Linked DNA regions of Oryctolagus cuniculus. The protein of the gene in region 6 interacts with the protein of the main gene of each other region in a pairwise test. Links are inferred from orthologs where the notes say so. Each region holds a gene or a part of one and is shown on either strand. Other genes may lie near its edges.

What was found.
Region 1: the proteins of CEP70 (region 6) and ATP5PO interact in binary tests that used the Homo sapiens proteins (3 or more experiments, as listed by UniProt). The two-hybrid records come from large-scale screens. The link is inferred for Oryctolagus cuniculus from reciprocal best matches to the Homo sapiens genes CEP70 and ATP5PO.
Region 2: the proteins of CEP70 (region 6) and ZNF366 interact in binary tests that used the Homo sapiens proteins (3 or more experiments, as listed by UniProt). The link is inferred for Oryctolagus cuniculus from reciprocal best matches to the Homo sapiens genes CEP70 and ZNF366.
Region 3: the proteins of CEP70 (region 6) and SUV39H2 interact in a two-hybrid assay, tested with the Homo sapiens proteins (2 studies listed by BioGRID and IntAct). The link is inferred for Oryctolagus cuniculus from reciprocal best matches to the Homo sapiens genes CEP70 and SUV39H2.
Region 4: the proteins of CEP70 (region 6) and LAMTOR5 interact in binary tests that used the Homo sapiens proteins (3 or more experiments, as listed by UniProt). The two-hybrid records come from large-scale screens. The link is inferred for Oryctolagus cuniculus from reciprocal best matches to the Homo sapiens genes CEP70 and LAMTOR5.
Region 5: the proteins of CEP70 (region 6) and DDX6 interact in a two-hybrid assay, tested with the Homo sapiens proteins (2 studies listed by BioGRID and IntAct). The two-hybrid records come from large-scale screens. The link is inferred for Oryctolagus cuniculus from reciprocal best matches to the Homo sapiens genes CEP70 and DDX6.
Region 7: the proteins of CEP70 (region 6) and NKAPD1 interact in binary tests that used the Homo sapiens proteins (3 or more experiments, as listed by UniProt). The two-hybrid records come from large-scale screens. The link is inferred for Oryctolagus cuniculus from reciprocal best matches to the Homo sapiens genes CEP70 and NKAPD1.

Annotation. Positions count from the first base shown.
Region 1 is NC_091435.1:11,119,937-11,124,106, reverse strand, and holds the start of ATP5PO (ATP synthase subunit O, mitochondrial), read right to left. Parts: upstream 2,801-4,170; coding exon 2,765-2,800; intron 1,713-2,764; coding exon 1,662-1,712; intron 915-1,661; coding exon 804-914; intron 1-803. UniProt on the Homo sapiens protein: Subunit OSCP, of the mitochondrial membrane ATP synthase complex (F(1)F(0) ATP synthase or Complex V) that produces ATP from ADP in the presence of a proton gradient across the membrane which is generated by electron transport complexes of the respiratory chain.
Region 2 is NC_091445.1:38,467,995-38,472,017, reverse strand, and holds the start of ZNF366 (zinc finger protein 366), read right to left. Parts: upstream 2,801-4,023; 5' UTR 2,129-2,800; intron 748-2,128; exon of another isoform or gene 1-747. UniProt on the Homo sapiens protein: Has transcriptional repression activity. Acts as a corepressor of ESR1; the function seems to involve CTBP1 and histone deacetylases.
Region 3 is NC_091444.1:41,010,219-41,012,940, forward strand, and holds the end of SUV39H2 (histone-lysine N-methyltransferase SUV39H2), read right to left. Parts: exon of another isoform or gene 2,561-2,722; coding exon 2,431-2,560; exon of another isoform or gene 1,607-2,430; coding exon 1,500-1,606; 3' UTR 501-1,499; downstream 1-500. UniProt on the Homo sapiens protein: Histone methyltransferase that specifically trimethylates 'Lys-9' of histone H3 using monomethylated H3 'Lys-9' as substrate.
Region 4 is NC_091438.1:59,944,330-59,948,582, reverse strand, and holds the start of LAMTOR5 (ragulator complex protein LAMTOR5), read right to left. Parts: upstream 2,801-4,253; 5' UTR 2,704-2,800; coding exon 2,669-2,703; exon of another isoform or gene 1,924-2,668; coding exon 1,862-1,923; exon of another isoform or gene 1-1,861. UniProt on the Homo sapiens protein: As part of the Ragulator complex it is involved in amino acid sensing and activation of mTORC1, a signaling complex promoting cell growth in response to growth factors, energy levels, and amino acids.
Region 5 is NC_091432.1:111,506,235-111,509,734, reverse strand, and holds part of DDX6 (probable ATP-dependent RNA helicase DDX6), read right to left. Parts: intron 3,476-3,500; coding exon 3,374-3,475; intron 2,216-3,373; coding exon 2,040-2,215; 3' UTR 2,033-2,039; intron 490-2,032; 3' UTR 1-489.
Region 6 is NC_091435.1:143,204,905-143,208,404, reverse strand, and holds part of CEP70 (centrosomal protein of 70 kDa), read right to left. Parts: intron 3,195-3,500; coding exon 3,081-3,194; intron 1-3,080.
Region 7 is NC_091432.1:104,026,853-104,030,352, reverse strand, and holds part of NKAPD1 (uncharacterized protein NKAPD1), read right to left. Parts: intron 3,428-3,500; coding exon 3,327-3,427; intron 2,102-3,326; coding exon 1,922-2,101; intron 330-1,921; coding exon 180-329; intron 1-179.

The DNA.
Region 1 (4,170 bases), about 130 Mb from region 6:
GTTTTCTAAGTACATGGATTAAAAATGCAAGGTGTTCTGAAAACACACAGTCACACGGCACAGGCTACCCATGGGACTGTGCCTCCCACCCCTCCCTTCCTGGCAGAGGGGAGGGGCGAGGAGAAAGTACACCGAGGGGACACAGCGGAAGGGGCGGGAACTTGGGACGTCGGGGCAAAGCGAGCAGGGCTGCTCCCGTCTCAGCTGCACTGCAGCGTTCTGCTAACGCACCTTACGTAGTCTTCATGCTACCCAGCACGGCACCGGCCCGCCCAGGGGCTGCCCTGCGGTTCCGTCGGCAAGGCGCCCACCACCTTCCCTCCTTTTGCTGCCCAGGAGGCGCGGCTGCCATCCTCCCCTCTCGTCTTGGGAACAACCTACTAATTAAAACCCAGGAAACGGCTTCATAAGGAAAACAAACTCTCAGACAAAACCAACAGGCATTTTAAACACTGTTGTAGAAACTGCTGGATAGCAAGCTCGGATTCTTGAAGGCAACCTTTTAAATCCTTTCCTGAAATGGCACTTTTTCTTAAATCATCACCTTACATTTGAAGTGATATTTCTATCTCGTCTCAGCCCAAAGCCAGGTTCCCTGCATTACTCTCCGTGTGTGTATCTGCTTGTTCCTGTTATAGAAGTTTCAGAAGACAAGCCAACACTATCGCTAACAGCATGCGTAAGAGAATTATTATTCTGTGACTCCTCTCCCAGAAGCTGTCTTGTCAGGACGCACAGCTAAGGCGCCACAGCAGAGAAGCGCGCAGGGCCACCGCGCACGCGCAGTGAGGGGAGGCGCTTACCGCTACTCTCAGCAGCTCCTTCTCCACCTGCTCCAGTTTGTTCTGCTTGGAGGCGGCCGAGTAGAGGGCGGTGGCATAGCGGCCTTCCACGCCGTACACCTGCACCGGCGGCTTGAGAGGGAGAGGGAAGCCGAGGGAGATCGGTGAACCGTGCTTCGTACAGACAACACGGCACGGACAGTCATCAGAGGGCTGTCCTAAGAACAAACCCTCACACCGATTAGGGGTCTGGGTGTTTCCTTGGCCTGACCAGGCAAACGTTTAGGAAGCGCCCGCAGGCACCCCTTCCTCCCTGCGGCGGCGCTGCTGGGGCTCCGCTCCCGGCCCCCACGCCCCAGCGTTCAACGCCACAGAGCCCACGCTTGCACCATCTTCCCCAGGGGACTGCGGCCTTTTCCCTACACGCCACAGTCAATGTACGACTGCACGTGCCGCGTGGTGCTGCGTGGCTGCACAGGGGAAAGCCCAGGCAATAGTGAGGCCGAGCAAAGCACCGTCTCCTGGAGCCTCAGTTTCCCCTTTCACACAACGGCAAGGCCTGCCATGCTCCAGCGCCGCAGAGGGGCGGTGAGAACTTCTCACGTGGAGGGTGGCTCTGGGCGATCTGGTGCTTGGACGACGGCAGGGATGTGACAGTCACTTCTCACCCACTTAAAGGTTCCGCTGGCGTCTGTCACAGGGCAAGCACCCTCCACCATCACCGTCCCCACCCTGCGCACGTGTGTCTTGTGAATCGCAACAACATGCAAAGGTTTACGTAGAAGCGACACCACAGGCCACGGCCTGACTGTAGGGCTAGAGCATGCACACCCTCCCACAGGCCCCTCCCCCACACAGGCGTGTGTATAAAGGACCTACCCTCACGAGCTTGGCAAACGGCCGGACCACAGATGTACTGAAGCTTCGCACCTTCAAAGCAAGAATGGAAACAGGTCAAAAGAAATGTCTTCGAGAATCTCTGTAATTCATTCAATCGCGACCTAAGGCTGCCTTTTAAACGATGTTTTTTGACATAGACTCCACGCGGGTGAGCTGTCTTTATTAGCCAGGAGTCCATGTTCTCACCGAGAATCACGCCACGTTGTTTGGAAAATCGCTTTCCCAGTAATCTCCTAGTTTGCCAGGAACCGGCCGAGGCAAGCGCCCAGTACCAAGGAGAAAACGCTACCTTCCAGGAAGTTAACATCTAACATTTCTGAGCGGGATTTTAACACAAGGGGGAGGAATCCGTAAGGAGCTGTAACAGATGGGCTGTCAGGAATCCACCTGCTGTCTAGTGGTTAGGGCGCGGGAGCGTGACCGCACAAGTTCAAGTCCCCAGCGATGCCCTTGCGGCTCTCAAGGGCCATAATCCACGCACCCGCAAAGGCACGGACCGCCCTCCAGGGCTCTGAGCTCCAGAACGCACTGTGTTAAAACCGGCTCTAAGGGCAGGGTTTTCGGGCTTATGGGGAAATCATGGAAACTACAGCGGGGTCAAGTGCGCAAAGCATCGCGGTGAGACGGAAGCGCGGCTATTTGATTTATTTTTCCCAACGCCACTTTCTCGGTGACACTGGGGTTCGGGTCTTAACCCCATCACTCACTACCCAAGCAGCCCAGGACGCCCCATTTGAACTTCTCATGTCCTTTATAAACCTGGGAAATCCGCCTGAAGTCACCAGCGACCCCCGACGGTTTATGGAACAGCCCAGGCGGCGAAGCCCGGGGCTGGCCGGTGGCCCCTGGCGCCAGGGGTTTCCCGGGCTGTGCCCTGAGGACGCCGAGATGACCGCGCGCCCAGCACCGCGCCGGGCACCCCACAGGCGTCCCGGGGGACGCGAGCCGGGCCGCCCTCACTCGCCAGGCCCCACGACCTTGAACGGCGGCCTTGGTTTCCCAGCGGTGGCCTCGAACCCTAGCGCGCAGGCTCTGGTACAAGTTTCCCCAAGGAGGGCGTCCTCCCAGCTAGCTTCTCTCACCTGCCGGGTGAGCCCGCACACTGCGGGGGCCGCCATCTTCTCCCGGGCAGCTGTAGGTCAAATCCGAGCTGGAAGAGGAAGGGGCGCGAGGGCGCACGCGCGCGTCAGCGTACCCGCTAGGCTCTCTGGGAAGTGTAGGCGTAGGTCGCCACAGCGCGTGCGTAGCCACCTCCTTCAAGCTGGGAGTTGTAGTCCTTAGACGATGCAGTAGGGGTGACCTCCCAGGGGGAGGCTGCACCTGCGAAAGGAATCCTTGAGTTCTGGTCCCCGGGGTAAAAACGATGGCGTTTGTCGCATTTCACAGATACCTTTATGTCCGACTACTCATCCCTCCAGCTGCCTTCTGGAGCTTCGTTTTCCCTTTTGCGGGAACAGGTTTAGCCGACAGCATCGCCGACCTCCTCTTGGGCGCTTCCTTCGTGGCGCCTTCGGCAGAGGTGTCCTTGGAAGCAGGGCGGGTGCGTGCCGGGTACCGACAGCCTAGCGAAGCCGGGCTGCGGGGCTGCCGCCGCGGCTCTCCCCCGCCCGCTGGAGCCGTTGGGAACTGCCATGGCCCCTCCTGGAAGCGTCTTTATACATTCATTAAAAAAAAATTAAGATAAATTCCAAATAGTCCCCAGAACCGGCACAGCCTGGTGAGATAGTCCAAGTACTTGGCTTCCGATGCGTGAGGCCAAGTCCTTTCCACAGGGTTAAACCAAGTCATGCTTTTCGCTCGCTAGTAGTGTCTGAAAATCCTTGTTCCCCTGCACAATGCAAATCATATTTCCAAATACATATTTAATTTAATTTAAATTTTTAAAAAGATTGATTTTATTTATTTGAAAGTCAGAATTACAGGAGGAGAGAGAGACAGAGACAGAGACAGAGGGCGAGACATCTTCCATCCACTGGTTCACTCCCTAGGTGGCTGCAACAGCCAGGGCTGGGCCAGGCCAAAGCCAGGAACCAGGAGCTTCTTCCAGATCTCCCACGTGGGTGCAGAGGACCAGGAACTTGGGCCATCTTCTACTGCTCTCCCAGGCCATAGCAGGGAGCTGCACCGGAAGTGGAGCAACCGGGACTCCAGCCAACGGCCATATGGGATGCTGATGCTACAAATGGCGGCTTTACCTGCTCCTCCACAGCGCCAGCCTCTTCCATATACATCTAATGGAAAGTCTATTCATTTAACACGCTTTGTGGAGCATGGGTCCTGTGTGTCAGAAGCTGTACCATGCCTTGAAGACAGAGCAGGGTATGACAAAGGGCTTGTCTTCGTAGGCCTGGTATTCTCCGTGAAATTGAACGGCAGCACCTGTGTGGGTTTTTGGAGCTATACTGCGAATCCAAAGTGCTGAGGCCAAAAACGCTTGGAAAACAGGGTCGCTCTGAAAAAGATTGGGAATTCATCTGCAGGTGTGTCC
Region 2 (4,023 bases), on a different chromosome or scaffold from region 6:
ATAGGATTTATAACGTATACCACGAATGCGTAATTTAGCTAGGTGCGTGGCTGGAGCAGAAATTAACTATTGAAAACTTGCAATGGGTCAAATTCTGGATCATTCCAAACTGGAATTCCCCTAATGAAATCACAACAGAACCTCTGATGACCCCAAAGACAAATCACACTCTGGAAGTTTCCACGAATGCCAAGTCACTCCTTGGAGTTCAGTAAAGATAGTGAGTGGTTGCAAGTAGTCTAACTCATCAACGGCCTTTTTTGCTTCAGGAAATTAGTTGATTTTTTCCCTCCTCCGGGTATCAAACAAATATTCTCATGCTCGTGACTCAACAATCTAAATGAAACGGTGAGTATGTAATTTTTCTTTGAAAGAGAATAGCATATCCCAGCCCCTTCGCGGGCTGCCCCCTTGAAGACGCCTGCCAGAAGTGGTGTTTTCTCAGCTACCGGCCTCTGCACTTGCAACCTGACTAGCACAGAGGAACCATACTTCTATTTGTCTCCTTTGTGTTGCCTCTGATGCTTTTCTTCAATGGCCCAAACTGGAGAGTGTTCTGTGATGTTGCTTTAACTGGACAGAACATTAAGTTCATGATCAAGGAGAAATGAAACTGAAAGGAGCGCGTCGGGATGGCAGCCCGCTTCTCCCCTGGCATATCAATTGCTGATAAAGGATGCGAATCGCCCCGATGATCTATCCCAGCTACCTGCGGACGTGAACATCCCTGACAACGGGGCGACTGGGGTAAGTGGTGGGGCACCTAGACACCATGCTCAACACTTACTGGAATCGTTTTCCATCGCTAAGAAAGCAAAGGGCAGTCACCGCTCTTACGTCGCCTGTTTTACAGTGCTCCTAAGGGGAGACCCACGAATAAAGGAGAAGAAAAAGAGAGCTGAGACTCTTGGAACGAAGCCTGCCCAAAGGCCCAGTCCTCTGATATTTCCTCATCCTCATCAAGCTCATGGCTCAGTCTTGCACAGAGTAATCATTTGATTTTGGTTAAAGCAGAGTCTGGCCAAATTAATCTTAAAATGAGAGTCCAGTTATTTTTGTCAAGCTCTTCACATTCTAGGTGATTTCAATGAGGAAGTTTCATAAAAATGAATATTTTAAGAAATATGCAAGGTCATTGCCATTCACCCATTTGGTAGCTTTGCAGTGAACTTGTTAACATTAGTAAACACTCACTGTCTTTGACAGTGACCTTGCTGACCTACTTTTGACAACGCGATCTTGGCTCCCTCGTGGCTTACTATGATGAGTTCTTGGTAACAGCATCCTTTCTCACGAATTGAATTGAAGCAAGTTAGACCTTCAGAAAGTGTCAGTTTAACTAGCTTGCTGGTCCCATAGTTGGCTTTGACACACCGGGCAGAGAGTGAACATTTCCCAGTTGTGTCTATGGCTTAAGTCTCTCACTCCTAGTGACACAAGTGACTATCTTCACCTGCCCATTCTGGTTGCACGCTGTTTTTCAAAGCCACAGCTCTGTACCCCTCAATCGTTACCTTCATTTGTGTGGCAAATGCCATCTTCCACTGACAGTGAATAAATCTGCACTAAACCCACATGTAGAACCAGATCACACAAGCCCCCACGATTCCTTCTGTTTTTCCTTCCTACACTTCAGTGATGCAGAACAACAGTCAACAATTAACTGTCCTCTTTTGGGGGTGGAGCGCTGAATGGAAAGAAGAGAACAAGAGACAGGCACCTCCATCCAGCCAAGGTGCAACAAACACCCCAACGCAAGCCACAAATCTTAGCAGACGCCCAGATAAGGTTTCGAGGACACAGCACGCAAGAAGAATGAAATTCTCCAGTGGGACACATCCCGCCCTCCCAGGGCTCCTGGATAAGCCAGCCACCTTGTCCATGCCCAAATTCAGATTTCACACAGGGGTCTCCTTCCTTGGCCCCATGGCAAGTCTCTTTGCAGTTCTGCCAGTCTCAGCTCTGCAAAGCATCGGGATTCTCTCCCACCAAAAACAGAAGCATACATTCTGGGCCATCCCTCAGCGATGCCCCAGGGAGGGCTTTTCGGTTGAAGATGCCCCCAGCAACCTCCAGCCCAGGGACACAGAAATGATTGCCCGGGGGGCGGGGGTGGGGGGGAACTTACCAGCTCCTGAGGATTCAATGGCTCCAGCGGCCTGATTGCTGGCTGTGTTTGTCTCTCTCCCTCTCTCTCTCTCTCCCTGTTTCTCTCGTGTACAGATTGCAGGGAACGTAAAGAACTAGCAGGGACAGTGTTTCAAATGACTTAAGAAAGAGAACAGGAACAATACTTCGTTCTCTTTTTCTCAGATGAGTACCTTCGGGAAGAAGGAAGGAAGGGAGGGGAGAGGGAGGAAGTCAACAACCCTTTGCTTTCCTGAAAAAAAATAAGGAAACAGAAGATAGACATCTCATTTTCTCTTAAACAAAATGTTGGAAGGGGCAAAAAATAAAATCTTTGAAAAAAAAAAAAAAGGAATTCCTCAAATTTGCTCTCTGCCCTGGGAGTTTTTGAAAGAGTTGAAAATGCCTTAGTGGCCAGTGCTGTCCGAACAACGGGTGCTCAGAAAAGGCAGGTCTCCCGGGCTTGCAGAACTCATACAGGCCAAAAGGGAACAAACCGTGTCATGTCGACTCTGAGCTAGGCGAGGTCTGCTCTGCCCTGCTCACGGGGGCAGGCGTGCAGCCTGCGAGACCAGGCGTCGCAGCCACTCAGCCAGGGCTTCTGGCTTTCCTAGGCCCTTTGAAACATTAGCATGGCTGCGAGCTGCTCAGCTGACATTAGACCCTTGGCGCTCCTGCAGGATCGAGTAGCAGATTTCTCACCGAGCTCCATGCCATGGACCCCAGCCAGCGTCCATCTTGGCTGTTGGAGGAAAAGCAAAGGAAGCCCCCTCCCCTGCTGCTGCCCGGCCCGGTTATCTCTGAATTGCTGCGGAGTTCATCCTGCCTTTATGTCCCTGCCGCTTCTGGGACTTGGTCGCCTCTGGAAAATTGCAAGGCGATTTCTAATGCGTCCTCAAAGAACTGCAAAAGAGCATGGGTCTTAGCTAAATCAACCACCGTGTGGGGGAAATGATGGGGAGGCTGTGTAGAAGGAGCCAAGAAACTTCTTGACCAGGGAGGGAACCTGGGGACCCCGGGGGGATGCCTGAGCTGCCTGCCAGCCAGGGCTCGTGGCAACTCAGGAGTAAGCTTGTCTTGGGTCCTCATTCATCGCTTAAGACGATTTTCACCACAAGCAGGAACCGGGAGCTCTGTGGACCTTTGTGGCAGTGAAAGAAAAACCAGCCTGAAGTTACTTCCTCAATTCACCCAATTGTGAGCGAAAACCGGGCTGGAGGGTACGCACCTGATTGCAGACAGCAACTGAAAGTGAGTTCAGGGAAGACATGAGCCACTCCAGCAACTGTGTAAGCTTTGTATTGGGTACTAGAGTGTAGAAAGTTGATTTTTTATTATTATTTTAACAGCTCTCTTCCCCATTATCTATCTAACCACGGACCTTCCTACCTGCCTGAATGGGCGTGCGTGTATCAGGCAGACTTGAAGCTATCATTACGCAGTAAGTATGCAGGAGCCAGAACAGAGCCCTGTCCCGGCCGTCGCCATGGCACCAACCCGGGCACGAGGCACAGCACTGGCCCAGGCATGGGTGACTCACCTCATCAGCCGGTGACAACACCCCCGACCAGGGACACTATCCCTGCAGCTTGCCCAAAGCCGCTGGCCTCCGTGGCCAGAACCCAAACGTCCCTGTCTCCTGCGCCCAGCGCCAGCGCCCTCGGCCCCCTGCTGGCCTTCCTCTGCATCCTGCCTTTGTGGACTGGGAAGGAAAAGGAGCAAGAACATCTAAGAGGACTAAGAGGACGAGGCTGAGCCTGAGCCAGTGGGGCCGCGCGGGAGGACGCACTGGAGGCTCCCAAGGGCGCACCCTTGCGGAGCGCCAGGTTTCCGGACGCACGATGAGAAGGGGTGACGGGGAGGGGGCATCGCCCCCAGGCTGCAGCCCCCCAGACC
Region 3 (2,722 bases), on a different chromosome or scaffold from region 6:
TGAAAATTGTGGATATTAGGTACACTCTTAGACCCCAAACATGTCTACAGTATGAAAGAACTCTTATGTGATGACTATATAATCAATAATAAAGTATAGCTTCTCCTTTAACTACACTGAGTTTTCAAGAAGGTATTTGAAGTGCTGCATTCTTGAAGTTCAATTTTACTAAAACCCATGCTTACTTTAGGTCATGAAAGCCTAAAGCAATTAGCTTTAGGGTGAAGTTAATCAGGAATACTGAAAGCTAGATATATTTGCTACAATTATCTTCATGTTGGACATCATCTTTAGAAATCCCAGAATCAGAAAGAGATGAAAGCAGTTTTTCCTTACTGAGGTTTCACTATGCCAGGAAAAAAAAAAAAAAATCAAACCAAAAACCCAAATATATCCCATTTAGGTATTTATAGAACATTAACTAATAAAAAGTCTCATAATTCAGACACATACTTTGGCCAAGTTTATCACATCTAAAAAATTCATATATAAAACAAGTATCAGTTCAAAATAGTTTACTTTTTAAGAAAAGCCTTCAGGAAATATAAAAATAAATTTGGTGGAAAGGAATGTTAAAACAGCCTGAAATTGAAAGGACATCAGGTTAATGTATGTTACATTATTAGGTACCAAGGCACCCCAGGTATCTTGTTTTACTCTTTAGACCAGAGGTACTTAACACGGATCTTCTAATTTAAGCAACTCAGAAGTGCCTTTAAAGTGCTCCATTTCTGCTGCCTGGCACTCTAAAAAATTCTCCTGATCCTACTGTCCTGTCATTTCATCAAAGCAAAATTGCCAGCCATTCTAGACTTTTCAGAGAGGGATTTTTGGAGATTTTTCTTATAAATACTAAAAAATCCTGAAGAATTACAGGTTAAGATATATTCCCCTCATAATGCGATAAACTGCTTCAAAATATGAAATCAAGCTGAATTAATTTTTTACATTTAATTTATCTTACATTTCTATATCATTAAGATGCCAATGTTTTAATGAAAAAGTAGAAAAGTATAAAATTCAGCATCATCTATTTCAAATACAAGTACAGTGAATATTAAACAGGAATGACAATATAGTAACAAAAATAGAACATGTATATTTACTCAAACTGAATTAACTCTGTGAATTTAAGGTGTATGGCAGGTTGAATGTGATTTCGGCAACTGTCACATTATCAGTTTAACACTTTCCAAATAGTTGAGGCATTTCTCTATTTACACAGACTTAGTATGCATATGCCGACCTGAAAACAGTTTGTCTGCCATGTGGGGTATCTAGCCATTAAGTATGGATACTTATCATTACTCCATGTGACCCTGGGTCCCTCTCTTCAGAAAGATCAATAATGCATTTGGCAAATGTCTTGAAACATAGATTGTGAATTAAAATAGGTACAACTGTAATACTATGAAGAAAGTCCCAAATGTATGTTTTAAAAATGATAGCATTTGAGAAAGACAAAACTATAATTATCACCAGCTATATTTTCCAAAAATTCAGTTGAGGTAACCTCTGCAAGTTGCAGCTCCACATTTGCATACAGTTCTGACTCTCTTTTTGGCTGGGCTGTGATCAATAGAATCTGAAGATATATCTCCAGAACCTGAATACATAGAAGAAATACAGGAGAAAAAGAGTTAAGACAATTCAGAATGAATTTCAACTTTCCTATTAAAGTAGTTAACAAGGATGACTACATACTTAAGATTAACAGAATAAGTTAACTCCCAAGGAAATTTAAGTTCCCTTTGTATTTTTAGATAAATGAATACAAACAAGTCATTATAAATTGCCTTTAAAAGGATGGTGTAGGCCAATAATAGATAGACTCTTATTAGCCCGCATTTGTGAGACTGAATTTCTGAAATGATGAAACTTTAACCGGGAAAATTCCATATATAATTCACTGATTTCATTTAAGAGCACATAAAGCGAGGTCAAATAATTAACTATAAAAAGCATCATTCTTAGAAAAACGAAGGAAAATATCAAAATAGAGCAAACAGACTTAAATATTCTTAAAAGATTCAAACAGGAATGGAGTAAGTTTGCATGTGATTTAATTTACATTAAGAATACATGTTAGTAATGAATTAGTAAAGATTTTACAAATATAGGCTTAAAATTATATTGAGAAAAGATGTTATAATAAATCAGCTTCTTGAATGGAAGTTTTGCAAAAAGTCAGAAGGTAAATATTATATAGAAGACTGACCCTTCCAAAGCCCAAGCAATTTCACGCAGATCTAAGTTCCAGCTTAGCCGTCAGATTAATGCTGGCTCTTAAGGAGAACCAGCTCCTATAGCCTTTTTTTTAATCTTTAATATTTCGTCATTAGTCTCTTTCAGATGATCTAAGGTCTTCTATTCTGATTTGATCCTTCATATTGAAACTAATACCAATAAAAGTTTATTTGAAAATCATACCTTTCATTTGATAATCAAAAGTGAGCTCTTCACCAGCATTTATGGTTCTTGTAGAAAATAATGCTATTCGTGGAAGACGAGTATCAAGGTTATCAATGAAAACATTGAACACCTGAAGATTTGGGTCACACTAAAAAGGAATATTAGAACCGATTTAAGTAAAAATACATGAATGAGCTCTTTTATGTGCCACATAAAATATTTAATTTCCCAGAGTATTATTTAAGTTTCTACTGGAAATAAAGTTACTTATAATTTAGAGGTCTTTAAGGCATGCACATTTAAAAATAAC
Region 4 (4,253 bases), on a different chromosome or scaffold from region 6:
CCTGGTGAGCCACAAGTAAGTTTGGAGCAACAGTATCTCACTGAATGATTCACAAAGAGGAGGTTCAGGTCCTGGTCCTTTAAGTTTGGTGCTTACATGAAGTGACTGTTCCCTGACGCTCAGTGGTTACATCAGTGAGAAAGCCGGGCAACAAAAATCAATAAATCAGTAAGCTATAACTGACACACCTATCACCATCTGTAAACAGCTTCAACATACCAGGACGCTGTAATTCAGGTCACTCTGAAAACCATAAATTCACTGGATAGGAACCTTGCGAAAACAAAAAGCTTAGAGGTGAGATTGACAAAAAGCAGTCAATACGCGCAAGAGGCTTGCTGAAGCTAATTCATTCCTCATGGGAAAGCGGATTTCCTCTCCTGAGGAGTCACGCAGTCTCAGATCTCCTCGATGGCACGTGTGAACATTCTGTGAGCAGTTATTTCTGCTAGCATAGCTACTTGGCTGTTTTCAAATGCCCACACGATTGTCTTCTACTCCTGACTGCTTTAGCTTGTATATGATAACGGAACCTTGGGTCCCAAGCACAAAATGTAACTGCTGAGTTTACTGTGTCCTGTATGTGTGTATGAAGGCAGGCCAAGCAGAACCGTGCCTGTGGCTGGTGGGCAGAGGGATTTCCTGACAGCAACTCACCAGCACGGCGCCATCTTTTGCACCTTGAAGCTTTCTTGAAGCAACTCTAATAGAGTTTCACACTTCATTTCAGTATTTCCATTAGTGAGTCTGGCAAAAGCGTCAAAACATTTGCCTTTTTTCTCCAAGCAACTGAGTTATAGATTACCGCTTTGTTACCCTTGCAGCAAAAATTCAGAGCTTTAAAAATTCTTGCACTAAGACGTGTCCTGGGTTTACTAGTTCTGACATTAACTAAATGCTCTAGTTATCTATCATTTTCCTTATCTATCATTTCCTCATCTGTGATTGCTGTCATTCTCTGAGCATGTTCCATCTGGGTGTGCACTGTCTTAAGCATATTATATAATCTCACGGCATTGTGATTGAAGAGGCTTTGGACCCTGACACCATTTCTAGCTCAGCCAATTACCGCCCTATGACCCTAGGCAAGCTACTTTACCTCTGTGCCTCACGTTGGTTGTTAGGAGGAGTGCGTGAGTTACCATTAGAATGGTACCTGGAACTCAAGGAAGAGCACGCAATTCTGTAAGCACTAGTCTCAGTAAACAAGAGCCCAGTGAAGCTATGCCATGGAGGCCGGTGCCATGACACATCTCTGATGCCGGCATCCCATATTGGCAGCGGTTTGTGTCCTTCTGCTCCATTTCTGATGCAGCTCCCTGCTAAAGGTCTGGGGAAAGCAGTAGATCGCCCAAGTGTTTGGGTCCCTGCCACTCTTGTGGGAGACCTGGATGATTCTGGCTTTGGCCTGGCCCAGCCCTGGACATTATAGCCATCTGGGGAATGACTCAGAGGATGCAAGATCTCTCTGTCTCTCCCTCTCTCTAATTCTTTCAAATAAATAAATAAATATTAAAAAAAAAAAAAAGTTCCTGAAAGGTTCATTTAGGCCCAAGTTCACACAACTAGCAAATGAAAGAACGGGGTGGGGGTGGGGGGAGTGTTTGAACTCAGCTGTGCCAAACTCAGAATCTCCTATTTTCACTGTTGGTGTACTTGGACTAGAACACTGCACCCACCCATCATGCAGGGATACTGTGGAAAGTGCAGCAAGGCAGGTGGAGCCTCGCATATGGCTCAGCACATGCTCACAGCTCTCATGGGCGAGTCCTGTCTAGGCCCAGTTTGAAATGACTCAAATACTATTTGGTCAACACCAGGTGTGGCGCAGTCCAGCAAAGGGTTGGCAGGAGATACTTACAGCCCAGATTGAGGCCTTGTGAGTCTGTGCACAGGACTCCAACAATGGACGGGTTCTTCATCCTAATTCCAGAAACACAGGAGAGGTGAGGCAGAGGGCTTGAGAAAGTGGATGCAAACGGTTATGACGCCCGTGGGCCTGCCATGCTATCAGGCATTGCCTAAGTGCTTTAAATGGGTTTCTCGACCTCTTTCCTACCACACTCCCCAACCCCGAGCAAAATTAAAGTAGTAATTGAAGCCAGCTGCAGAGAAGAATGAGTATCTGCTGGGTTTGGGAAGCCTAGGCGCACGCAACAGTTCGGATGCGGGGTTTTTCGCCGTTCTAACCGCACGCTTTACGTAACAGCTCAGGTAAGACAACTGGACAAACTAAGAGGCGTTGCCTCCCGGAAGGGAAGTGGGATGACGAGGGAGTGGCTGGGAGGGTGGTGTCTGCACGTACACCTTAGACTTTTGCAGCTTTGAGTTTACACAGACGTTAACACATTTAAGGAACAGGTATTTCCTTAAACACCAAATGACAGATCGCACACACGATCTGTGTGTGTGTGTACCCGGTGCGGCCGACGGCACACCTGCGACACCCTCCTGAACGACCTAATCCTGCGGACGGCGCCCCGAGAGGAAGGCTGCGGGCCCCAGCGGGATATTAACTTCGGGCCACCGGCCCCGTCCCCTCGGCCAGCCTTCTGGGGTGGCACGGCGTCCCCGAGCCGCCCTCCGGCGCTCGCGGGTCTCGCCCGCTGTCCCGCACGTAACCCGCGCTGCGACCTCAGAACTGGCCGGAGAGGCCCGCACTGCTCACGTGTCCTCCAGGTGCTGCTCCAAGGTCGCCTCCATCCCGCCGGCCGGCAGCGCACCCCCGCCCGGGCCCCCGGAGCCGTCGCGTTCCGCTTCACTGCGGGCCTCCGTCACGTGACGCGAGCCTTCCGCTGCCCGCGACGGCGCCGCCGATGGGACAAAATTCGCCGCGGCGCCACGTCCGAGTTCTCTCCCGGAAGACGGCGCCGAGCCGTGCTCCCGTCTCCCTGAGGGTTCGGGCTGCGCGGGGTGAGAGTCTGCAGCCAGGCCCCAGCGCCTCAGTTCCTGGCCTGCAGTCTGGCCCAATGGTTCTTGTCCGTTGGTCTCAGTGCAAACGACTCCGAGACCCAAGGACAGGATGGTGTTTGACAGTAACCCTGCGGGCCCGGCGGGATGGAGCAAGTGGCCAGAGGAGCCACGGGCTCCTTGAAGGGCGTACACCCGGGACAAAGGACGAGGTGGCCCGCGGGTAAAACCCGGAGCGGGGCGCTGGCAAAACGTGTTGGAATTTTAACTAAGACACTGCTTTTCCTGTGATCAGGGCTCAGGAAGGTTTGGGGCCAGAAGGTGCCGTGTGATACCTAACGCATAAGGAGGACTGGGGTGACACTCCCTGAAAACAGCTTTACAAGCTGTCAAAGCCAAGATTAAAAATAAAGGAAGGAAACCAGCCACACTTCCCACACTTCCACTGCCAGAAGTGACTGCAGTCCCTTTCAGGTGGATGTATTTGCAGAGGTATGCTCTAAATGGCTTTTGTTCTTTTCTAAGCAAAAAAAAAAAATATTGGACATGATTCCTTTGCTGAGCCTTTGCACAGGTTTTAGCATAAATGTCTGTTCGTGTTAATAAATACTTAGTTTTGAGGCCGGTGCTGTGGCACAGTGGGTTAAAGGCTTGGCCTGAAGCACCAGCATCCTATATGGGCGCCGGTTTGAGCCCCAGCTGCTCCACTTCCGATCCAGCTCTCTGCTATGGCCTGGGAAAGCAGTAGAAGATGGCCCAAGTCCTTGGGCCCCTGCACTGGCGAGAGAGACCCGGAGGAAGCTGCTGACTTTGGATCGGCACAGCTCCGCCATTGCAGTCATCTGGGGAGTGAACCAGCGGATGGAAGACCTCTCTCCCTGTCTCTACCTCTCTCTGCAGCTCTTTCAAATAAATAAAATATTTAAAAATAAATACTTAGTTTTTATTAATTGCAAAATATTCCATGTCTCAGCCGTATGTGCTTTAACTGACTTGACCAACTCCATGTTAATGTACAGTTTGGATACTAGCTTGCTGGGTGAATATCCTCTTGGCTAAATCTCTGTGCAGTTTAAAATTTTCCTGGTAAGCTACTAGAAGTGGAATTACCGGGCCAAAGGATATGGTTGTTTTTAAGACTTGATGGACGTGAATTGCTGGCACAGAGGTAGTGCCAGCGTGCACTCAGATGGTAGCACTTTGGTGAAAACAGGAGCGCACCTGTGTGTCCTGCCAGTTCTGCTAAGCCTCGCCTTACCGGAAGCGTGCTTGAGCCCTCTCACCTGCAGCTGTTACCCGGGCTCCCTGCTGACTATGGCCAGCTCAGGGCGCTTTCAGCCTGG
Region 5 (3,500 bases), on a different chromosome or scaffold from region 6:
TGATATTCTGAATGGTCTCATAGCATAAGGCACTTCGCACAAATAAGTAATAAGCTCTTCAGGCTTAAAAAACGGATGAGTAATCAGGGAGAAGTTGAAATGCACGAGAGTCAGCTGTTGGAGAAATTTGAAATCGTAGACAAGCTTGTGTGTTCATTGAGATTCTTCTCTTTTTAGGGTTTCTCCCCTTCTCTTCTTTCTCCTCCTTCCTTGTCCCCTTTCCCCAGAAAACATTTTTTTTAAAACCAGCAGTTAGTGCAACTAATGTTCAGTCAGCACACAGTGCAAACAAGTGGAACAAAAAAGGTATATCCCTTCTTTTCAGCTTTTTTTCTCTTCGCCAGTTAAAAAAAGAAAAAAATGTCTGAGATCTTTTATGTCTTCATAGTTCCAAAATAAAAGAAGATGAAAAACCCACAAAGAGAAGAGCATCCCCCCAAAAAATGATGTGTCACAGATCCAAACGAGCCTTCTGTGGTTTGTCAAAGCCTATAAAGAGGGAAAAACTAAAATCAACATTTGGGCAATCAGCACACAGCAGGATACACAGGTTTTCACAATCCTCAGCTCTACCAGTTTCTACTGAAGCCTTTACCTGTAGAATCCACTGGTTACAACTAAGGCATTTTTGTCCCGAGAAAGAATGGGAGGCTGAATGTTCATTTACAACAATTGAATCAAAGGGAAAAAACTTATTTTACATAAACTGAAATAGTCCGCCAAAGTACTAAGCAAACATTGGCTAGTTTAGCTAATGGTTTTGTGTTTGTTTATTATAATTTGCAAACTACCTTGTCAAATTAAATGAGATTTTCTTTAGGAAATATACTATTCAGTTTTTAAATTTTGAGCCTTGTTTTTTTTACATGTTTCTAATCATAGCCCAATAAATAAACAAATTTTTAAAGAAAAGATGAACGGAGAGAGTGTGCAAAAATCAAAGTGGACATTTTAAAAAGGCAGTCATCCCTCATAACCTGATTACAAATTTGGTAGTAAGGACTACAAGCATTTTTAACTGATTTTTTAATACATACATTAGAAATTCAGAGTGTTAAAAGCAGAGGGATGACTTTGAAAAAGGAAAAAAGATGAGTGAAAAATATTCAAAATGGCTGAGAAAGATTCTTTTTTGCTTTCATTATTTTGGGAGTCTAAAATTGTCATAAGTATTGGTTCACCTATCACATTATTCAGAGGCCTGCATTGCAGGACACCATTTATAGATTCTCTAATGAGAATATAACCTCACCCAAGAGATATTTGCTATTTATTGTAATTTATGCCAACAGTGTTTCACCCTGTATTGCCATTATACATGGTGCGGTATCAAATTCCTCCTGGAAGGGAACTGCGTCAGCTAAAGATGGCCAAGCCTGGGGTTGGTGTCAGATTAAACTGCAGTTCTGAAGTCAACGTCCCCTATGAGACGATCATGCCGTTTAGACCCTCAGCTGCTCTGCTTCTGAGTTAGCTTCCTGCCACTGCAGCTGGAAAGGCATTGGCAAGTGGCTCAAGTACTTGGGATTACTCCCTTGTATTACAGGGAGACCACGATGGAGTTTCTGGGTTTAGTCTGACCTAGACCTGGCTATTGCAGCCATTTGGGAGGTGAACCAGCAGACAGGAACATTTGTCTCTCCCTCTCCCACTGTCACGCTGCCTTTCAAATAAATAAATCTTAATGGGGGAAAAACACCAGATGGATGTGCATGAGCAAGTGGAGCACATGTCTGCTTGCTGCTGACTCACCAATGGCAGGGACCCCACTGTTGACAGCACACGCTTAAGTTTTCCTTTGAGTACAGGAGATCTGAATTGTGTGGACTGGTTAGTCTTGTTTTTGGTGGTCTGTACCTTGTTTTCCTGGCTGTATCTGTGAATGATAGCCTAGCTGCTGGGTAAGAATTCTGCTGTCAGAAAACATCTTAATTTGCTGAGCTGGAATTTTAAAGCCTATCTTTGGTATCTCCCTTTGCTGCAGACTCTGATGGCAGCACACTTCCCCTCTGAGGTTCTGTCAGGTACTCACATGCTTGTTAAGGTTTCTCGTCTTCTACAGGCTCGCTGTGGTATTCTGCCACATATAGGCTCTTGTCAATGTTGCTTGGGATAGGTTTAATTTCTGTTCCCAGCTGCTCCTCAATACTTTTCAGATTGAAACGATCATCATATGTGATCAAATTGATGGCTAAGCCAAGATGACCAAAGCGACCTAACCAAAAAAAAAAAAAAAAAAAAAAAAAAAGTTTAAATTCATTTTTTTTCTCTCAACAAAGTTCTTTTTACTGCATCTGTCCAGTGTTTACATATCACCTCTCAAGGTCTGACCAGTTCTCAACAACAAATGTACATACATGTGTGTCTCTGTGTGTATACACCAATGCACAGGAAAGGCCAACAGGAGCCTAATGCCTCTTTCAAACACTGGGGGAACTAGCAGAAAAAGGCAAGGCTCCCTAATGTCCACTGTTACATTTCTGTTCTGAATAAATTCATTTTTAAAAACTAAGTATAAAAATTAATGTGTATATGTGCCAGTCTATAATGTGGAAAGAAAAAAAAAAAAACCCAAAACCATACAAGACTAATTTATGTTCAGTGCCATTCTGAATATGATACTTCTTATGGGTCTTATCAAATACATATTATGCTAAAACTTCAGATTTCACACTCCAAAGCAGAAGAGTGAGACCTTTACAATACCTATGTATTCAACCAAACACAGAACAAAAATATTTGGGGAAAAAATATTTTGTGTGTACTGACTATGTACAGACCTTTCCTGGTCATTATTCCTTAAACAATACAGTGGAGGGAATATATTTATAAGTATTTTACACTAGTTTAGGTATTATAAGCTAGAGGTGATTCAAAGCATATGGGAGGATATAGATAGGTTCATACAAATACTATGCCATTTTATGTTAAGACTTCAACACATACAGATTTTGAATCCACAGGGGGTCCTTGAAAACCACCCTCCATAGATACTGAAGGATGGTTACACTGTATTTTACCTTTTCAAGTAAAAAAGTAGCTGCCCATTTGAGTCAGAAGATACAGAATACAGTACAGATTATTAATGAGAAAAGAAATGTTCTCATGTGTTAATTTTATCTTAAATTAGGTATAGGGTAATTATACTTTTCTTAATATTCTAAAAATAGGAGAACTTAATTATTCTTAAACATCAAACAACTGAATTACTATTAATTCACTATTCTCATAAGTAACACACTCTACAAAGGGTGCTCAAAAAGTCTGTGGGAAAAGGCCCATTATAACACCATTTTTCCATTAAGGAACAAAATGTTCTTAGTAAATCTCAAAACATAATTTCCAGCAAGAATACTCCCTCCCTTCTTCTCACCTGATCTTCCAATACGATGAAGATAGGTCTCTGCTAGCTTTGGAAAGTCAAAGTTTATTACCACATTCACAGCTTGTATATCAATACCTCGGGTAAAAAGATCTTAAAAAAAAAAAGAGAGAGAGAG
Region 6 (3,500 bases):
GCAAAGCCCTGCTCAGAAAAACTACAAACTACTTTATATTAATAAATCATATAAAAATTCACATTGTATATTTATATAAATTATATAAATTAATAAATTATATAAAATTCACATTTTGTATTTATATATATTTATAATATATAGTACATATTATATATTTATATATACTTATATTTGCATATATTTATGCATTTTATATTTATATAAAATTTATAATTATATAAAATTATAAAATATATTAAAAATAATTTTTTTTTTTTACAGGCAGAGTGGACAGTGAGAGAGACAGAGAGAAAGGTCTTCCTTTGCCGTTGGTTCACCCTCCAATGGCCGCTGCGGCCGGCGTGCTACAGCCAGCACACTGCGCTGATCCGAAGCCAGGAGCCAGGTGCTTTTCCTGGTCTCCCATGGGGTGCAGGGCCCAAGCACCTGGGCCATCCTCCACTGCACTCCCGGGACACAGCAGAGAGCTGGCCTGGAAGAGGGGCAACCGGGACAGAATCCGGCACCCCAACCGGACTAGAACCCGGTGTGCCGGCGCCGCTAGGCGGAGGATTAGCCTAGTGAGCCACGGTGTCGGCTATAAATAATTTAATAGTTGAATTACTCAGAAACAAGCATCATGGTCACAGGAAAAATCTGACTAGTTGGCGTCAATAACTTTTTTTGAAGATTTATTTAAGTGAAAGTTACAAAGAGAGAAGGAGAGGCAGAGAAAAAGAGGTCTTCTATCTGCTGGTTCACTCCTTAGATGGCCACAATAGCTGGAGCTGTGCCAATCTGAAGCCAGGAGCTTCTTCCAGGTATCCCACACAGGTGCAGGGGCCCAAGGAGTTGGGCCATCTTGTACCACTTTCCCAGGCCATAGCAGAGAGCTGGACCAGAAGTGGAGCAGCCAGGACCCAAACCAGCGCCAATATGGGATACTTGCATTGCATACAGAAGTTTTATTTACCCTCTATGCCACAGTGCCAGCCCCAATAACTTTATTTTTTAAGATTTATTTATTTGAAAGGTAGAGTTACTGGGGTGGGGGGGCGTGGGAAGAGATCTTCCATCAGCTGGTTCATTCCCCAAATGGCCGTGACAATGGTCAGGGCTAGGTCAGACTGAAGCCAGGAGCCAGGAACTCCATCTTGGTCTCCAATGAGGGTAGTAGGGGTCCAAGTACTTGGGGTGTCTTCTGCTGCCTTCTCAGGCACATTAGCAGGCAGCTAATTGGAAGTGGGGCAGCTGGGACTTGATACTACACTTGATCTTATCCAAAAGGCCGAGAAGCGCGATGACAGCTGGGACTTGAACAAGTACTCTGATAGATCCAGACTCACAGGCAGTGGTTTAACTGACTGCACCACACCACTGGCCTGGTACAAACCATTTTAAATAGTTTCTTGTATAATGGATAAGGTCTAACATCTATTTCTATTCTCACAGAATCACCCTGAAAGATACTCTTAAATCTTGTGTCCCTAATTCTAAATATGTAATTACATTCTAAATTTGAGAAGGGGACTCTAACTCTCTAGACAAAGCAAATTAAAAACAATGCAAAGAAATAAGAAACAAAAAAAAGTAATAAGAAAATAATAGGGGGCCAGCAGGTTAAGCTATTACTTGCAATCCTGACATCCCACAAAGAAGTACCAACTTGAGTCCTGGCTGCTCTGCTTACAGGTTAGCCCCCTGCTAATGCACCTGGGAAGGCAATGGAGGATGGCCCACGTATTTGAGCCCCTGTCATCCATGTGGGAGACCAGGATGGAGACCCAATTCCTGGCTTCAGCCTAGACCAGCCCTGACTGTTGCAGTCATCTGGGGAATGAACCAACAGATAGAAGAGCACTCTCTGTCACTCTGCCTGTCAAATAAATAAATCTTTAAAAAAAATTGTTGGCATTGTGCATAGTGGCTAAAGGCTGCCCTGCAACACCACATAGGCACAGATTTGAATCCCAGCTGCTCCACTTCCAATCCAGCTCCCTGTTGATGTGCCTGGGAAAGCAGTGGAGGATGGCCCAAGTACTTGGGCCCCTGCATCCACATGGGAGACCCAGAAGAAGCTCCTGGCTTTGGACTAGCACAACTAGCTGTTGTAGCCATTTAGGGAGTGAACCAGCAGACAGAATACTCTCTGTAACTCCGCCTTTCAAATAAATATAATCTTAAAAAAATTATTTTTAAAATACCCTTAGGGGGCCAGGGCTGTGGTGTAACAGGGAAAGCCACCACCTGCGGTGTCAGCATCCCATGTAGGCACCAATTCAAGTCCTGGCTTCTTTACTTCTGATCCAGCTCCCTACTAATGCACCTGGGAAAGCAGTAGAGGATGGTCCATGTGCTTGGGCTCCTGCACCCATGTGGGAGGCCCAGATGAACACCCTGGCTCCTGGCTTTGACCTGGCCATGCAGCCATTTGGGGAGTGAACCAGCAGATGGAAGATCGCTCTCTCTACCTCTCTGTTATTCAGCCTTTCAAATAAGTAAGTCAGTATTTAAAAAAAAAAAAAAAACATTTAAATAAAACATTCATAGTTTTATGATTTTTTTTTACCAATAAGCATTCTAGCAAAGTTTAATGGAGAGAGTACACCTGACAGACCAGGCAGGCATCACAGTGAAGAACTGAGAGCCTCATGATCCATTTTTATTGTAAATACAAGGATCAATTTTGAAATTATAACCAAGAATGTAGGACTTAAGCAAAAAGGGGGCACTGGGAACAGGAGCAGAGAATCTGAAGCAGTTTGTAGGTATATGCTCTCTTGAGCTTGTTTCTCAGAGAACATCAAGAAAGGCTTATCTTCCAACATGTTACTCAGAGGTGTCAGACCACCATAAACAAGCAACTTTAAGACTGTAAGATGGGGCCAGCATTGTGGTACAGAAGGTTAAGCCACCACTTGCAATACTTGCATCTCATATTGGAGTAACAAAACCATATAACAGTCTTGAATCTGGCATTTCCCAAAAATTATTTGACCAATTACTTGAAGAATTTTTTCAAAGTCAAATTTTTCATTTGTACACAACATTCTTCAGTACATAGTAAGAAACACCAGCTTAGACTACTTTAAGCTTACCTGCTTTTCAGCCATGAGTTTGTCTGATAACTGACTGGACTGCTGGGCTTTAGGGGATGCTGGAGACATTGTGGAATCAGAAGTGGAGATTGGCAATAAAAAAATCTGAGTTGCCTAATGAACAAAAGTGAAATGAGTTAAGAGAAATCATACTTAAAAGAACACACTACTCTTGCAGGGCAAATTAGGCCACTCCTGCGTCAAAACTTTATGACTTCCTAGACCGTTGATGGAAGAATCATTTGAATAAATGCTATCCTATAATGGTCTTCTCTGGAATAAAACATTCTGGGGTTTTAGACACATATACACCTCCACACATATGAGAGCAAGAACTATTTGTTTTAACTAGATAACATGAAAAGCACATGAAACTAAAAACTGTTACCTTTTAGAAGTAGCTACTTCCCTCAAACCTAA
Region 7 (3,500 bases), on a different chromosome or scaffold from region 6:
TAGCAGAGATGGGAAGAGGAGCAGCTGGGACTAGAACCAATGCCCATATGAGATGCCAGCACTTTAGGCCAGGGCGTAAACCCGCTGCACAACAGCACCGGGCCCGACAATTTAATTTTTGACAAGTACACGTTTTCAAGGCAAATATCATTCGTGGTCACAGGAATTTAGTTACAAACCTGTCTGGCATGTTAGCTTCATAATCATATAACTTCTTGTTCCAGGATTTAGCCTTAAGAAAATCATCTTCCAGTGTCCCAGAAATTTCATTCTTTGGCTTCCAATAATCTCTTTGACTTTCTTCATCAAAGCCATCACTACGCATCCGGCTATAAGAGAAAGCAGAATGTTTAGATTTAGATTTAGATTTGAAAGCAATTTGTGAGGGAACTTTAAAGAACATCATACACAAAACCCATAGAACAGGGGCCGGTGCTGTGGCATACACAAAACCCTTAACAGTGCCGGCATCCCTTATGGGTGCTAGTTCAAATCCCAGCTGTTCCACTTCCGATCTAGCTCTCTATGATGGCCTGGGAAAGCAGTAGAAGATGGCCCAAGTGCTTGGGCCTCTGCACCCACATGGGAGACCGGAAGAAACTCTTGGCACCTGGCTTCAGATTGGCACAGCTCCAACTGTTGTGGCTAATTGGGGAGTGAACCAGCGGATGGAAGACCTCTCTCTTTCTCTCTGCCTCTCCTGCTCTCTCTGTGTAACTCTTTTTTTTTTTTTTTAAGATTTATTCATTTATTTGAAAGTCAAGAGTTACACAGGGAGAGAGAGAAAGAAAGAGGTCTTCCATCTTCCATTTATTTATATAAATAAATATTAAAAAAAAATTCAAAGAACAAGCTGAGGTGAGAACAAAATAACCTGATACTTACTATTAAAAAAAACAGAGCCGGCGCCGTGGCTCAATAGGCTAATCCTCCACCTTGCGGCGCCGGCACACCGGGTTCTAGTCCCGGTTGGGGCGCCGGATTCTGTCCCGGTTGCCCCTCTTCCAGGCCAGCTCTCTGCTATGGCCAGGGAGTGCAGTGGAGGATGGCCCAGGTGCTTGGGCCCTGCACCCCATGGGAGACCAGGAAAAGCACCTGGCTCCTGGCTCCTGCCAGGATCAGCGCGGTGCGCCGGCTGCAGCGGCGGCCATTGGAGGGTGAACCAGCGGCAAAGGAAGACCTTTTTCTCTGTGTCTCTCTCTCTCACTGTCCACTCTGCCTGTAAAAAAAAAAAAAAAAAAAAAAAAAACAAAAACAAACCAACAACTTGTAACAGACATTATTTCTTCCTGTCTATACATTTGTAAAGTCCAATGGAAAAAAATCGGACCGCTACTACTCATCCTAATGTAGGGTACAGATGAAATCAGTTCTGGATTATGTCATACTGTGACTCACTCACTGGTTCTCAACTGGAAGAGAATACAAGGAGGGAAACAGCACAGTCACCACTGGGAACACCGCAAACTACCCTAGAGATTCTGAAATACACCTCCCTTTCCAACAAACCAGCAACTAACAGTAGCGAGGTCACTGAAATGGGAACAAGGCCTTACCAGTCTACTAACCTGACAGTAAGTCAGTTAATCAGTTACCAAAATGTTTAAAGGCCTCCTATATTCTGGGCACTGTTCTAATACAAATGTAATAGCTAATGAGATGCTCAAAATCCCTGCCCCTAAAGAGACTGTCTTATGTTTTAAAGATTTATTTACTTTTTATTTGTCAAATAAAGAAACAATTACTAAAATTATGTATTCACCATGAAAGACATTAATAAGAGTCCACTCTAGAAGAGCAGTCACTGAGCCAGTATTGTGGCACAGTGGATTAAGCTGCCGCCTGCAACACCAGCATCCCGTGTGAGTGCTGGTTCAAGTCTCGGCTGCACCATTTCCAATCCAGCTCCCTGCTAATATACCTGGGAAACAGTGGAAGATGGCCCAAGTACTTGGGTCCCTGATATCCACATGGGAGACCCAGATGGAGTTCCTGGCTCCTGGCTTTGGCTTGGGCCAGGTTATTGTGGCCATACAGGGAGTGAACTGGCAGATCGAAGATCTCTTTTTCTCCTTTCACTCTGCCTTTCAAACAAATAAATCTTTAAAAAAACAAAAAAGCAATCATTTTGTTTCTGAAAATGTCACTTAAATAACCAATACAAAATAAATCATCTGTAGTACTTCTAAATTCTCAAAGGACCACCTTCAAAAAGAAAAATAGGGTGGGCATTGTGGCACAGTGGATTAAGGTGCTGCTTGGAATGCCTGCATTCCATTACTGGAGTGGCAGTTCAAGTCATGCTACTCTACTTCCAATCCAGCTTCCTGTATTAATGCAACCTGGAAAGCAGCAGATGGTGGCTCAAGTGCTTGAGCCCCTGCCACCCACATGGGAGACCTGGATGGAGTTCCAGGCTCCTGGCTTCAGCCCAGCCCAGACCTGGCTGTTGAGGGCATTAAAGAGGTAAATGAGCAAATGGAAGATTCTCTCTCTCTCCTACCCGCCATCCCCCCTTGCCTTGCAGTTGCTTTGCCTTTCAAGTAGATGAAATGAAAGAAAGAAAAAATACTTGAAAGGTATTTATGTTGAGACTGCTTTGTTTATGTATACCCTAAATACGGGTCTGAAGCCATTCACACAGCCAATGATATATTAAATCTATACATCCTGCAGACAAACATACGCTCCTTAAATATCTCACTATTAACCAATTATTTCCTTGGATGGCTTTAGAAATCAGGATTATTACTTGGTACTCATTACTTGATACATCTACTTTCCTACATTTAAAGGCAGAGGAGGGCCAAGAGATATTTCCAATTACATGAAAATTCCTGTACCTCCACAGTAAGAGATGGCCAAGCCTGCATGATATTTCACATTCACATTCAAAATTATTAAGGATATGTAAAAGGCTGTAAACCTGGCAGTAAGTCCATGGAGTAAAGAAAAAGCTGAAAGAATGAAAGACTAATTTCTTAGAAAAAAGGAATGACTCATCAGTTAAGTGACTGTAAGAGTCTAACAAAATTTTAAGTTATAAGCTGTTAGGCAAAATCAGAATACACAGAACTCTGGACATTTTCACCTGTTCAAGTCAGAATTTTTAAATTCTCCACTGCAGATCAAGTACAATGATTGGAGTCATATATATCGTAGTCATTATCTCTTTTTGTTTGGGTCTAAATGAATGAAACCAGGAAGGCTTAAGGACTCACAGAACAGAATTCATCTATCCTTAATATACCAAAATGTTTTTTTTAAAAAGTGGACAATCCTGAAAAAGATGAGCTTTATTTTGGTTCTCAGAGCTGCAACTTCACCTTGAACTGCTGGGCAACATTCTCCTTTTGGTCCCCTGGTAAGCATCTTCCATCTGTTTCTCTAGTTCTCTTATTTTCCACATATCTGATTCCTCCTGAATCTAGATTAAAAAAAAAAAAGAAACAAAATAAACTATTAAAACTTGAATTCACATTACAGAAAAGTAATTGAAA